Linked DNA regions of Arabidopsis thaliana. The protein of the gene in region 2 interacts with the protein of the main gene of each other region in a pairwise test. Each region holds a gene or a part of one and is shown on either strand. Other genes may lie near its edges. The genes, in order: AT1G12790 and SHOC1.

Region 1 (4,954 bases), on a different chromosome or scaffold from region 2:
CGAAAAATAGGAAAAATGAGTGGGCTCTTTCATGTTTTTGTTGGTTTCTATAAATACGGCAGTGATGATCATGACAACGATGATGATGATGATGATCCGTTTAAGTGTATTATAGCTTTGATTCGTCGATTTTCAGTTACGCATTGATGGTGAAACTTTTCTCGGCGGATTTTAATAATTAAAAGGGAAATAATGTAAGATTAAGTCTTCTTTTTTTTTTACGCAATGACATTTTTAACCTATTTTTGTAAATAAATGACTAGTGATGACCAAAATCTACGAGGATTATGGGAATACAGAGAGATAAATTTTCTATGGGTTGGATAACACGCTAAAAACTGGATAGTAACGTTGTCCAATCAACTTTTTTGTGTTTTTTCGTTAAAGTTGTCCACTTAATATTTATCTTTTAACGATACCTAAGATTGTGACAGAGACAGCAGAGACCTACCGATAACGTTATGATCAAATTGATGACGTGTATCTACAACTTTATTTAGGTATCCAATTTGGGTAAATGTTGAAATGTTTTGGTACTAGAGTTAGCTAATAGGATTTTGTTTTGAGAAGGAATATATGTTTCGTATGTTTTTTTTTATAACAAAATATGTCTTTATGTAGATAAATTTTGAAATATATTCATAACATGAATTTTGCATCAATTTGCAAGTAGAAATGGCAAATTCTTCGATTTGTCACAAATTGCGGGTAAAATCTTTTACTTAAGATAATGTGTGATGTAGATGATTTTTAAATCCGGATAACATAAGTAAGAATACAAGAATTTATAAATGCAAAGCCATTTCACATGGGTTTTGTTAGCTTGTCATTTTTGCTTAAGATCAAAGAAACCCAAAAACCCGTAACTATCAACCAAAAGAAAAACAAGTGTGGTCATTTATTGTGCTTAACCCTCAAACTTATCAATCAATCTACCAAACGTTTTCACGATGCAGTTTGGTGTTACTGCAAACATCAAAAAAAGTCTTGGTACCGATCTTTATTGATTAAAGTTCAGATGCTAAACACTTTAACAGGAACGGATGTAATAAAAGTACTAGTATTCAGACAGAGCTAGCAAAGATAAAAAAGTGAGCCATTTTACTTACCCGGTACTGGCTCCTATAGGTGTATGTATTGTAGTCTTGTAGCCATAGCAAAGGACTACGAAAAGTCTTTGAGTGGTACCTTTAGAAACTGTTACGGCCAAGAATAAGATAGATAAGTCTTACGACGTTACGGATTTTATAAGAATTGTGATCTTAGTATCTTACAACTATTTCTGCAGTCGTCAGTTGAATTTGGGACTGAGGTAGAACTCAGGATCTTGGAAAAACCTGGTGAGTGTATCAGCCTTTTTAGAAGAGAGATCTGTGTTTGCTAAAATGTCTTCTTTGGATGCTTTAGCGATTGCTTCAATTGAACCAATAGCCTGGTACAGCTGTAACCGATGAGAACATAAGCAAGCAAGTAGAATTCATGGTGCAGTGACATGATTCACAATAAGGTTTGAAGTTTGAAGTTGGAATTGTATTTTAATAGTATCAAAAGTGCAAGTTTACCACTTGAACCTGCTCATAAGTAAACATTACCGTGTTCGCATCATGTTTGTTAATATTGGGTATGGATGTGACAAATCTGATGAAGATGTTTGTATCCTGCACAGTTCGCTTTCTCTTCACATGAAAGAAAACGAAAGAAGCTTTAGAGATTGTCAAAAACAAATGTTGAGACAGATCATTATAACAAATGAGAACCTACCTCAACCTTGAGCTTAGAGGCCACCTTCTGTTGCTTGCACACTGAAGCTCAAGTTTCAAATCTTATCAGTCAATCACTAAAAAAACCGTAGAGTATATTAACTAACACAAAACAAATGAATCTTATACCTCCACGAGAGTGAGCAATCTTAACAATCTTCTCAAATCCCATCTCAGCATCAGTGACTTGTACAAACGCAGGTTTCCCAAACTCCATCTCATATCTACGAAAAAGATTTATCGAGCTTCATTTCCGACAACACAGATAAGCAAAATGATGCAAAGTGAAAAAAGAAGAGTAGAAGACCACTCACTGGAAGTAAGATCGCATAAAAGAATCACTCTGCTCTTTAGTTGAAAGTGTAGCAACAACATAAAGTTGCGCAAATTGCCCTTTCAGCCTCTTTACTCTAAAAAAGTTTAAGTCAAAGAAATCAGAAGACATATAGGAGTTTGCGATAGAGAGAGAGCTTGAAACTTTATTATATAGACCTGCTGAAGATGGAAGCAACATTGGAAAAATCCCATTTAGTCACAAAAACAAAAGCAATAGAAACACCTCCACAATTGAAGATGAGATCCTATCACAGCATAAAGTGAATTCTTTAAGCTAAATTTTAGATAATCCAATTCTCCAAAAGAATCTAAACAGAGAAAGAAGGCACATACAGGGGGGATAGAGACAAAGTTAAGGCGGAAAGAGTTTGCGCTAAGAAACGCAGATATGAAATTGATCAGTGAAGGTTCTTGTTCAACTTTCCATGCATTGCTCATTATACAAACACCAGCAACATTTCCTGTCAGAGATTATCGTAAATTAATCCAATCGCAGATTCTCAGTAACATGAATCTACTAAACATTAGACTCATCATTCAAATTTCGCAGTAATCAAATCAAAACACATATCGCCTAATTTGAGAACTTATCGACATTTCTACATAAGAAATTGAGCAGATACAGAGTCGAATTCAAGTTTCCTAGATTTGATTTGAATCACAGCTATAAAATCGACACCAAAATTTTGCAAATCCTAGACTCTAACGATTGAGTAGATCGGATATTTTGATAACAGAGAAGAGTGGTTACCTAGATTCACGAGAGGTGACGAAACTTGATGATCTGTTGAGACACTGTAGCTTGATCCCGCCGTCGCCATTGACGAACCTCCTAGAGTTATAGAAATTCGAAAATCTTGGCGGATGAGGATGACGAATAATTATCAAATTTGAATAATTAATTGTTTTCGTCCCACATCGCTCTCCGACTTTGGTTCTCCTAACCGGTTCATGAGTATATATAAACCGGTTTTGAATTCTCCATACGCTCCACATTACGTTTGAGGTCGAAGATATGCTACTGATCAGATTCACTTGATGGTCTTTCAAACTATAATTTCTTACTTTCCTATGGATATCAGGATCATAGGGTGCAAGCCTAAACCATGCATGACATAACAATAAGAGAGAATTTGTTAGCCTGTAAGTAATATAATCCTATAATCTACTTCATTCCTCACAGGAGAGGTGATTCTACATATTTCCAGATTCTTGCTTTTGTTGGGAAAATGTTTTCATATATTAAAAAGATCAGGAAGTATTACATTAGAAATCATGTATTGATGTTGTAGACTTGGTATAAGTCTTCGAATGATACCACTTTCAAGAATACAAAAAAATAGTGGATTCATTCATTCCTTCCTTCCTCAATATTCTCATTCTACTCTGTTGGTGCAAGACATGATTGTAGATTTCATCTCTTCTTTGCTCAAGGATGCTTCAACAATAAGCTGCAGATAAACAGTAAAGGAAAAAAACTGAATCATCCAAGATTAAAATAAAACAGATGTTATAAGTTAGATCTTTCTCTTTCTTTCTTTTACCTCTTGTACTCTGTTTCCAGCTCGAGCAAGCAGTTTGTATTGGTTCTCAAACATTGGAGCCATGTAAACCTACAAAGAGAGAGAAAGCAAACCAGAGCTCTTAGCTTCCGATCAAAACATAAAACGTTCACATTTTTTCGCTAAGGAAGCCGCAACAGTATTCAACTCTTTAGCGGTCTGTTAGATGTTTTCGTGTTTTGATATATACATTTTAGGTGATTAAACTGTGTACCTGAAACGTTGGAGCAAGACCCGGACTCAAGAAGAAACGACTTTTTGAGACTGATTGGATTCCTTCAACCATTTCCAGCTCTTTGATCAGAGATTCCACGTCAGGCCACTGCAGAAGAAAGGTTTCAGAAACCTGTAATAATGGTTTCATCACATAAAATCACAGAAGGTCTTTAATACCTCAGCGTCGAGCTCTGCTGCTTGTAATCGTCCCCCCAACTGATCATTATCACCACCAACTACAGATTCTAAAGCTTCAGTAAGAGGATCAGGCTGCATAAAGACATCAAACGGGTCTAGGTATATATCAAAATGAGTTACCAATTGCTACAAGATAAACTTTTGAGAGATCTTTCTCACCGTAATTTCTTTTAATGACAAGAAGATACGTTCAAGAGCAAAATCTAGCTGGTGCACTTTCGCTTCCACAATCTGATAACAACAAAAAGAAAGGTTTGTCAAACAGTTGTATTCCTTAGCAGTGTTTACGATAGTTCGAGATATTACCTGACCAATCTTGAAATATGAAGCAGGGTCTAAAGTTGCATCCCATGAAACTTCTGACTGGTGAACCAATGCAGGGACACCTTCTAGCTGTTTCAACCCAACTTTTTAGTTTTACACAACATTCTAGATTCCGTTCTTGCCAGTCAATAAAGCAAGAAGGTTCAAAGATATTTTAACTTCTGTAAGTTAGTAGTTAGTACCTCACAGAAAATACCAAAATAGGTAATTTTCTTGATGCAGCATTTCACAACATCCCCAACACGAAGCTTAGCCATAAGAGTTCGTTTTTTCTCAACTTCCTCTTCATTTTCTCTCGGCCTCATTGAAAATATAAGCTTCCTTGAATTTCGATTTGCCATAACAACATTCACTTTGATTTTCTGCATTGAGTTAAATTGTTTAGAAAGGAAAAACAAGCATTTCCATGTATGGAAATTAAAGTCATAGGTTTTTTAGACATACCTGACCAACAAAAGATGACAGGAACTTCTGCTTCTCTCTGTCATATACCATAAGAAGATCTTCCAGCTTCATATCAGAAGAAACTTCTCCGTTGATCGTTGTAGCGACTTCAGA
Region 2 (7,859 bases):
CGAGTAAAATCTCTCGTTTTTTGGTGAGGCTGAAGAATTCTTTGACCGCTTCTGCCTCTTCTCTTCTTGAAGTTTGTTGCCTCCTTTATACTTGAAAAACTCGAGTATGGATGGACTCTTTCTCTTGGTATTAGCTTTCTTTATGTTCCCTGGAGTCTCCAAACTAGGTGGAGAAGCATAAGAAGGAAGAGATTGTTGTTGTTTCCTTGCTCTGCTTCTTTCTCGAACTCTGTTAAGGAAATCAACCGTCCAAGGAGAACTTTGTACTTGATTTGAAGAACGGATTGCGTTTGATAGTGGAGATCCACCAAAATGTGATATTTCTTCTCTAAATGGAAGCTCTGTTGTTGGAACTGCAGATCTTCGTGTTAAGACCTCCTCCAAAAGGGTCCTTTGGCGTTTTGCTGGATAGTTATCAGCATAGCCACGCAAAGAAGTGTTGTTATCATATTTTGAATCTTTCTCAGTGGCGTATCTTTCAGAACTCGAGTCGATGTCAGCCGCCTTTGGGAAGTTAGGCTGGAGAGATCCAAAGAAAGATAACTTCCTTGAAGATTTTGATTTTCTTGGAAGTTCCTCTTCATTAACATCAGAAACTATTCGAGCAAACCTATTATAACCAGGAGAAGGCGGGAAGTCTTCCTCGAGATACTTATCAGCTCTGTCAATTACTTCACCTTTGTAGTCTGCGATGAAATTCTCCGAGTTCCTATTGTCATGCAAGTTAAAATCTCTCATCACCGGAAATTTACATCCTCTGTTCTGGCTCATGAATTTGTCTTTAACTGGGAAACTCCAATCTTCTAATTCAGGAATTCCAGGAAGACTGTCCTCCACTGAAAAATCAGGCTGATCTTTCTCCCAAAATGTGTCCTTTGATGATGAACCAGGTCCTGACTTCTTGTCAAATCTCTCAGGATCTTTAGACGGCCAAGAGTCATTGGGATGACTGATCCCAGAAGGTTTGAAAGGTGCATCTGAGAATTCAGTGACAGGGTCAAAATGAAAGATCTCATGATCTTTCGATGACCAAGAATCATCAAGTTGGAAATCCCCAGAAGACTTGAGCTGTGTATCAGCAAATTCTATCGAGGGAGAAAAATGCACCAAGTCGTCCATATCTATCTCATCTTTCTCAGCAATGTACTGTTTCTTTTTTGAGCCAGAATGGACACTGACATGGTGTGTGTCTGAGTCAGGTCCAGAAGATACCGAAGAAGAGCTGTCTGTCATTACAGATCTGGAGTCCTCCCTTGCTCCGTATCTGCATACTGAACTGAATAGATCAACACTCTCTTCAGGTACATGATACTTTTGCGTCCTTTCAACCTTGCTTTTATGTGGGAGCTTCATGAATTCGAGAAGTGACCCAGAAGATGACAGAATTACTTGAGCTGTGAGTGGATTCACGGAAGGAAACTTGGTGAGAAATGATTCTGCTAGAGATTCTGACTCGGGCATTTTGACATGGAGTTTGGACAACTTAACAGAAGATTTGATACACTTCAATATAATTTCATCCGTGAGATTAGCTGACGATGAGCAAAACATCTGTAAACTGATTCCTAGGCTACCAGCTGCTGCATACAGTTCATCAGAGGAGTCCATTACGGCAGCCAGGAAGGCGGGTTCCCCCTCAAAAACCTGTACGAAAAATAACAATCGTTCTTTAAGTTCTCTGGACTCAGTCTACAGTTTAGAAGAAAATGTTGCAGAGACTTTAGTATATGAGTGAGTATTAAACATCTAGTAAGTTTGTAATCATCAAATTAGCAAAAATAATAGAAGATGATTCTTAAAGTGAAAGGTCCACATATATACTGCAACGTTCCCACAAAAGAACGGCAAAAAGCAAAGTTTGGTGGAATTTACCATAATGCAAGTGCTGAAACTGAAACTCAATGACGTCAAAACATTAGTTGCGATATCTCCAATCCATGAAAGTGAACTTGAGGAAGTACCAATAGTTGCAGCCGACTTCTTACTAACAGTTTCACTATCATACCAGAGTAGGCAAACTGCAGGACTTAACATCAGGTCCACAGGTAGATCTGAATCGCGCTCCACAACTTGCACTCCTTCTTTTTCCATTGCTAACACCTTCTGGTATGTACTTCTTCTGGATATGATCATCTCCTTATCGACAGTTTTTGTGTTCACAACAATCACAGATCTTTGGTCAGAGAGACCCTGTTCAATTATCCCACGTTTTCTTTCAGATTCTTGAGGCATGGAGATAAATTCAGATTCATTTGTGGTTTCGGAAGATCCTGCATAACACACTTTTTCAAGTGGAACAAAGTTCAACACTTCTTCCAACCACCCAGTTTTCGTCTCAACTTCGTCTCCCTACAAAAGAGATAATAGTGTACATAGGTTCTCGTATCTGCATATTCTGGAACATATTCAAACAAAGCGTTCAAAATATGCAGTTATGGAATAAACGTGAATACCACTGATGTGACAACACAATTTTAGGTTAAAGTACATACTAATGTTAAACTTGCATAATTTTCAGTGTTGCAAAACCAATCAAGATCATATGCTCATGAAAGTACTATTTGTGATACAGATTGATCTACTGCTCTGAATTTGAACCCTTCACACAGACTCTTCCATCGTAATATACAATCTACCAATATAACTTGTAAGAAAAGGTTGAATGTTTCTCACCTTTATCATTTTGAGACTATAAGGTACTGTAACACCTGCACAGAGTTGCCCGCATGCACTGGGCATATCCAGCTCCACTTTTATGAAATGAAAGGAAGGAAAGGAATCCAACTTTGAAGGAAAAGAATATCTGGGCGAGGCATTTGGACCTCCATATTCTACAATGACGCTGAAATTCTCCACAGGAAAAGATGGAGAAATTTGCCTTAGATGAAAAAGAAAGGACTAGTTAGCTTAACTACTCCCAAAAGACAATTTCACTAAAAGATATTGAACAAAGAATCGATAAAGCTATGTTTTAGCATGCAAAGAACAATAATGCAGCAATTTCACGAGCAGAGAAGTAACAACATTTTGTGGTATCTCTTACAATCACCATGCTAAAAGACTGAAAATGCTTTTCAGGCCGCAATATATCAATTCTTTGGTTCCCTTTCTAGTTCCCAAAAAATTCAACTGTGAAAAGCTATGATCATTGATAATGAGGATATGGCTATAGGAAGAAATAATACTCACTCGTAAGAGATAATTAGACAGTCTGAAATCGGCAGGAAACCAAGTTCTATGGCTTCATGAACATTTGGTCGATTTCCACTTGGGGAGGGACTGTTGAGGTCATTGTAAGATAACCCCATGGACATCAGTAGCCTCTTCAGCGAGGACCAAAACACTTTCTCAGCCAAAAGTAATGCTTTGGAGTTCCCCCGGGCAAATTCTGACTGTAAAATCCCCTGGATAACAGCTAGTGATGGATGTGATCTTGTGATGTCTGTCTCATCTGATTTGTGTTCTGTTTCAACTGCTGAGTAGAGGGTGTGCAATCCTATCTTCATGGGATTTGAGCTTCGACATACCTTGTTAAGATAGATATATGCCACATGGATACCGAAGAAACACATATACCATGTCATCTGTTTAATTGCTAATAGTAATGCAAACGTGAAAGTCTTATCATCCGCCAACTGTGTTTTGTGGACATTTGCCTTTCTTATGCAGTCAATAAGCTTTCCTTTAGATATGCTGAGTAACTTAAGTTTATCTTCTGATAAATTCTCTGATTCATCCTTCACAAGAGTTAAATAGCTCTTCACAAATTCCCCAACAAGAGCCTGAATATTTTCTGAAGGGCGCACACTGTGAAGTATCATTTCCTCTGTCTTCGGGTTTGGGTGCATACCACCAGATCTACATGAAGCCTTCGAGTCAATAGACATACATTTATGGTTGGTAGTCTTAGCAGCTTCGACTCTAGACTCGAGATTATCTTCAATCACAGCCTTCTTCGGATCCATGAAAAAGGTTAAGTCATCAAAAGCAGACATTGATTTGAACAACAGCGTAGCCTTCTTAGCATTATCATCCACTGCACAATCCCTTGCTCCTGTTTTTTGGAAAGGGTTTTCCAATAACCCATGCGAAGTATTAACAGGAGCATGCTCATCAAGGTTAGATATACCATAGAAAGGTTCAGTGCATTTCTCTACAAGTGGCTCGCAGAAAGCATCTTCAGAGAAAATGAAATCATAAACCCATTTGTCTCCTTCTGAAGCTTCCCAGTTATAATCAATGTTGAATGTAACTATTTCTTCAAACGGATAATCACAATGGTTGTGGTTTCTTTCCTCAAGAAGGTTCCACGGCAAGTATATGTCATTTGAGGCAGACAAGGATTGAGGCTTGATCTTTGACAAAACATCCTCATAAATGAGCTCCAGAGATCTTGTCATCTCATAATCATGTAAAATAGGAGTAGGCAAAGACTTGAAGGCATCATCTGTGAAGGCAAGTTCGGAACTGACAACTAATTCATCGAAATCCTTGAAGTTCATCTCTTTACTGAACATACCGTAACAGATTTCTGGTTCAATGGCTTTTTGAAGACAAAGGAAGATATCAAAAACATCAGAGATATCCACATCCAGGATCTGGAATTCCTCATAAGTTACTGGTACAGCCACCTTTCCCTGAAATTCCTCAGCATTTGATATTTCCAGGATAGTCACTATATCCATTTCAGAAAATTCATCCTCTGGTACCACATCAGATTGGCCACTCTTGTTCAAATAGCAATCCGTAGAGAGTACATCCAATAGATCATAATCCTTTGAGCCTATAAGCTCCTTAGAATTGATAATGAGAGAACTCCCTGCATTAGTGTCTTGGGGTTCAATCGTCTCAAGAACAGTAAATACTTTATCAAGCACAGATAAGCTTGATAGTTCGCTCAAGTTTACTTCATCCACTTCTAGAAGGGGAAATCTGGCATCTTTGAACCATGGTTGAATCTTGCGGAAGCATTCATTTTCTGCTACAGAAGTGTTGTTCTCTGTAAAGTAATCAGAAGGAATGTAATCAACAGAATAAATCTGCTCTTGAATGTCCTTTGAGTTCTGCAGGATAATATCTGACCCCTCATATTTAACCTGCAATAAGAAGACTAGCTAAAATCAGATGATGCCAAGAACAGGAACCAGCTCTACCACTCTACAGCAAAAGCAAAAACTACTGTTGTGTGTGCCAACTAAAATCAACTCAGGGATTTACCGGGTCATTTTTGATCTCTAGAACTTCAGAGAAACATTGGAGATGATCCTCACTCGTGCATAAGAGCTTGTTCTCCTGTATATCAAAAGATGCTTTATCTCGCAATGAAAAAGAAAAAGCTGAACTAGTTCAATTAGTACAATGCTTACACAGCTTGAGCAATACCATCTCAAAATCCAACTCTGGAGTCTCCAACTCAATAATTTTAGGTGTAGCTTTATCCGCAATGGCATCTCCGTCATCCTTCTGCAAATAGATCATAACTTCGGTTTTCAAACTCCGGTAAGATTCGCTTAAGCTACCAAAATTTCCAACCCAAGTATGAATATAAGATCTAAGCAACAATCAGAAATGGAAACTGAGAAAACACACCACAAATTTCGAAAAATCTACAACCAATCTCACTATAAGAAACAAAGGACCGTTGACAGAAACAGTCAGCGAGACTCAGGAAATTCGAAATTTCACCTCCAGGAACTGATAATATCTAGATCGAAGGAACTTTACCTCGTCTGAGTAATAAACTCCGAGCGAAGAGTCGTCGATTTCAAAAACTCGATAGTCCACACTGACGCGGTCGGGAACCACGTCGGAAAGGAACTTCGACAAAGCAGCTTCAATAGGCAAATTTCCGATAGGGATACTAACATTTTCGATCGAGCCAAATCGGAGACGGTCTTCTTCTCCGTTGTAGACGATGGGTGCCGGGAAATTATCAGGAGCCGGAAGATTGAGGAAGCCTAGGGTTTCAAATACGTGAGAAGGTGGAGTAGAGAAGTAATCGATGTTGAGAAATCGAGTTCGCATCGTAATTTTCTAGATCCGTCTTGGGAGCTCAGACTGTATCAGTGATGATGATGATGATGAAGAAGAGAACGAATTTTGAAATTGGCGGTTTTGAATTTTTAAGAAATTAAAAAATATCCCCCGTCGATTTCAAGAGGGAGATGGAGATACCAAAGCAACTCTCGCCACTTGTCGTCTTTTAATTTTAATTGAGTACGTTATGCCGTTTTAAATGTTCAAAACAGCACACAGTTGATAGCTGAATTGATTTTTTCTTTTGCCGTTTTGTTATATTTAAACAACACACAGTGCATTTGCCAAATAACTACATGATGGGCCAATAAACGTGGACCGACTAAAACTAAATAATAGAAGATACATCGATAGGCTTCTCTAAAGATCGGATAAAAGATAATGTCGCATAGCCACGTAGAGAGCAACTGGCTGAGACGTGGCAGGACGAAACGGACGCATCGTACGTGTCAGAATCCTACAGAAGTAAAGAGACAGAAGCCAGAGAGAGGTGGTTCGGCCATATGTCATCGTTCTCTCTATAAACTTTATGGAACTTTGTTCTGATTTTCTCAGAGACACGAAAAGAAAGAAAACAACACTAGAACAAAGAGGGTTTGATTGATTCACTTGAAAAAGAGAAAACACAGCTTTGGAAAATGGAGTCACAGTTGACACGTCCTTATGGTCATGAGCAAGCAGAAGAACCAATCAGAATTCACCATCCAGGTATATATATATCTATGACAGAAGATTCTAATTTGAGAACTTTTCTCTTAATTTGCCTTATTTATTGTGATTCGGATACAGAAGAAGAAGAGCATCATGAGAAGGGAGCATCCAAAGTGTTGAAGAAAGTAAAAGAAAAGGCTAAGAAAATCAAGAACAGTCTCACTAAACATGGAAATGGTCATGATCACGATGTGGAAGATGATGATGATGAGTATGACGAGCAAGACCCAGAAGTTCACGGCGCACCAGGTTAATTTCTCTGTATTAAAGTCCTCGTCAATCAGCAGTTATATTTTTTTGTGTATTAACGGTTTTTCTGTTTTTTTATGTGTATGCACAGTGTATGAATCCTCTGCCGTGAGAGGTGGTGTAACGGGTAAACCTAAGTCTCTTAGTCATGCCGGAGAAACTAATGTTCCGGCATCGGAGGAGATTGTTCCTCCAGGGACAAAAGTTTTTCCTGTCGTGTCTTCTGACCACACCAAACCCATTGAGCCTGTATCATTACAAGATACCTCTTACGGACATGAGGCACTGGCTGATCCTGTAAGAACGACGGAAACATCGGACTGGGAAGCGAAAAGAGAGGCACCGACTCATTATCCTCTCGGAGTGTCAGAATTTTCAGACAGAGGAGAGAGCAGAGAGGCTCATCAAGAGCCATTGAACACTCCTGTGTCTCTGCTTTCAGCAACAGAGGACGTGACTAGGACGTTTGCTCCTGGTGGTGAAGATGACTATCTCGGTGGTCAACGGAAAGTCAACGTCGAGACGCCAAAACGTTTGGAGGAAGATCCGGCTGCTCCAGGAGGAGGATCGGATTATCTCAGTGGTGTATCTAATTATCAGTCCAAAGTTACTGATCCCACGCATAAAGGTAATGACTTTGGCCGAGACTTTTTTTAGGGTTTATGAATCTGTAATAACTCTTGTCTGTTCTGTTTAAGGTGGAGAAGCTGGAGTACCAGAGATTGCTGAGTCTCTTGGTAGAATGAAAGTGACTGATGAGTCTCCTGATCAGAAATCAAGACAAGGACGCGAAGAAGACTTTCCGACGAGAAGCCATGAGTTTGATCTGAAGAAGGAATCTGATATCAACAAGAATTCTCCGG

Evidence for each region.
Region 1: the proteins of SHOC1 (region 2) and AT1G12790 interact in a two-hybrid assay, tested with the Arabidopsis thaliana proteins (one study listed by BioGRID).

What each region holds. Positions count from the first base shown.
Region 1 is NC_003070.9:4,358,306-4,363,259, forward strand, and holds AT1G12790 (DNA ligase-like protein), read right to left. Parts: upstream 3,067-4,954; 5' UTR 2,918-3,066; coding exon 2,848-2,917; intron 2,558-2,847; coding exon 2,430-2,557; intron 2,342-2,429; coding exon 2,253-2,341; intron 2,171-2,252; coding exon 2,075-2,170; intron 1,985-2,074; coding exon 1,890-1,984; intron 1,803-1,889; coding exon 1,762-1,802; intron 1,677-1,761; coding exon 1,593-1,676; intron 1,442-1,592; coding exon 1,292-1,441; 3' UTR 1,275-1,291; intron 1,198-1,274; 3' UTR 590-1,197; downstream 1-589. Other genes in the region: AT1G12800 (Nucleic acid-binding, OB-fold-like protein), read right to left, coding at 3,473-3,547, 3,641-3,709, 3,873-3,980, 4,052-4,144, 4,232-4,303, 4,379-4,465, 4,579-4,758, 4,841-4,954.
Region 2 is NC_003076.8:21,230,531-21,238,389, forward strand, and holds the start of SHOC1 (shortage in chiasmata 1), read right to left. Parts: upstream 6,025-7,859; coding exon 5,725-6,024; intron 5,464-5,724; coding exon 5,383-5,463; intron 5,293-5,382; coding exon 5,218-5,292; intron 5,097-5,217; coding exon 3,190-5,096; intron 2,879-3,189; coding exon 2,674-2,878; intron 2,350-2,673; coding exon 1,873-2,349; intron 1,645-1,872; coding exon 1-1,644. Other genes in the region: LTI65 (CAP160 protein), read left to right, coding at 6,675-6,744, 6,826-6,996, 7,088-7,624, 7,695-7,859. UniProt on the Arabidopsis thaliana protein: Essential for the formation of class I meiotic crossovers.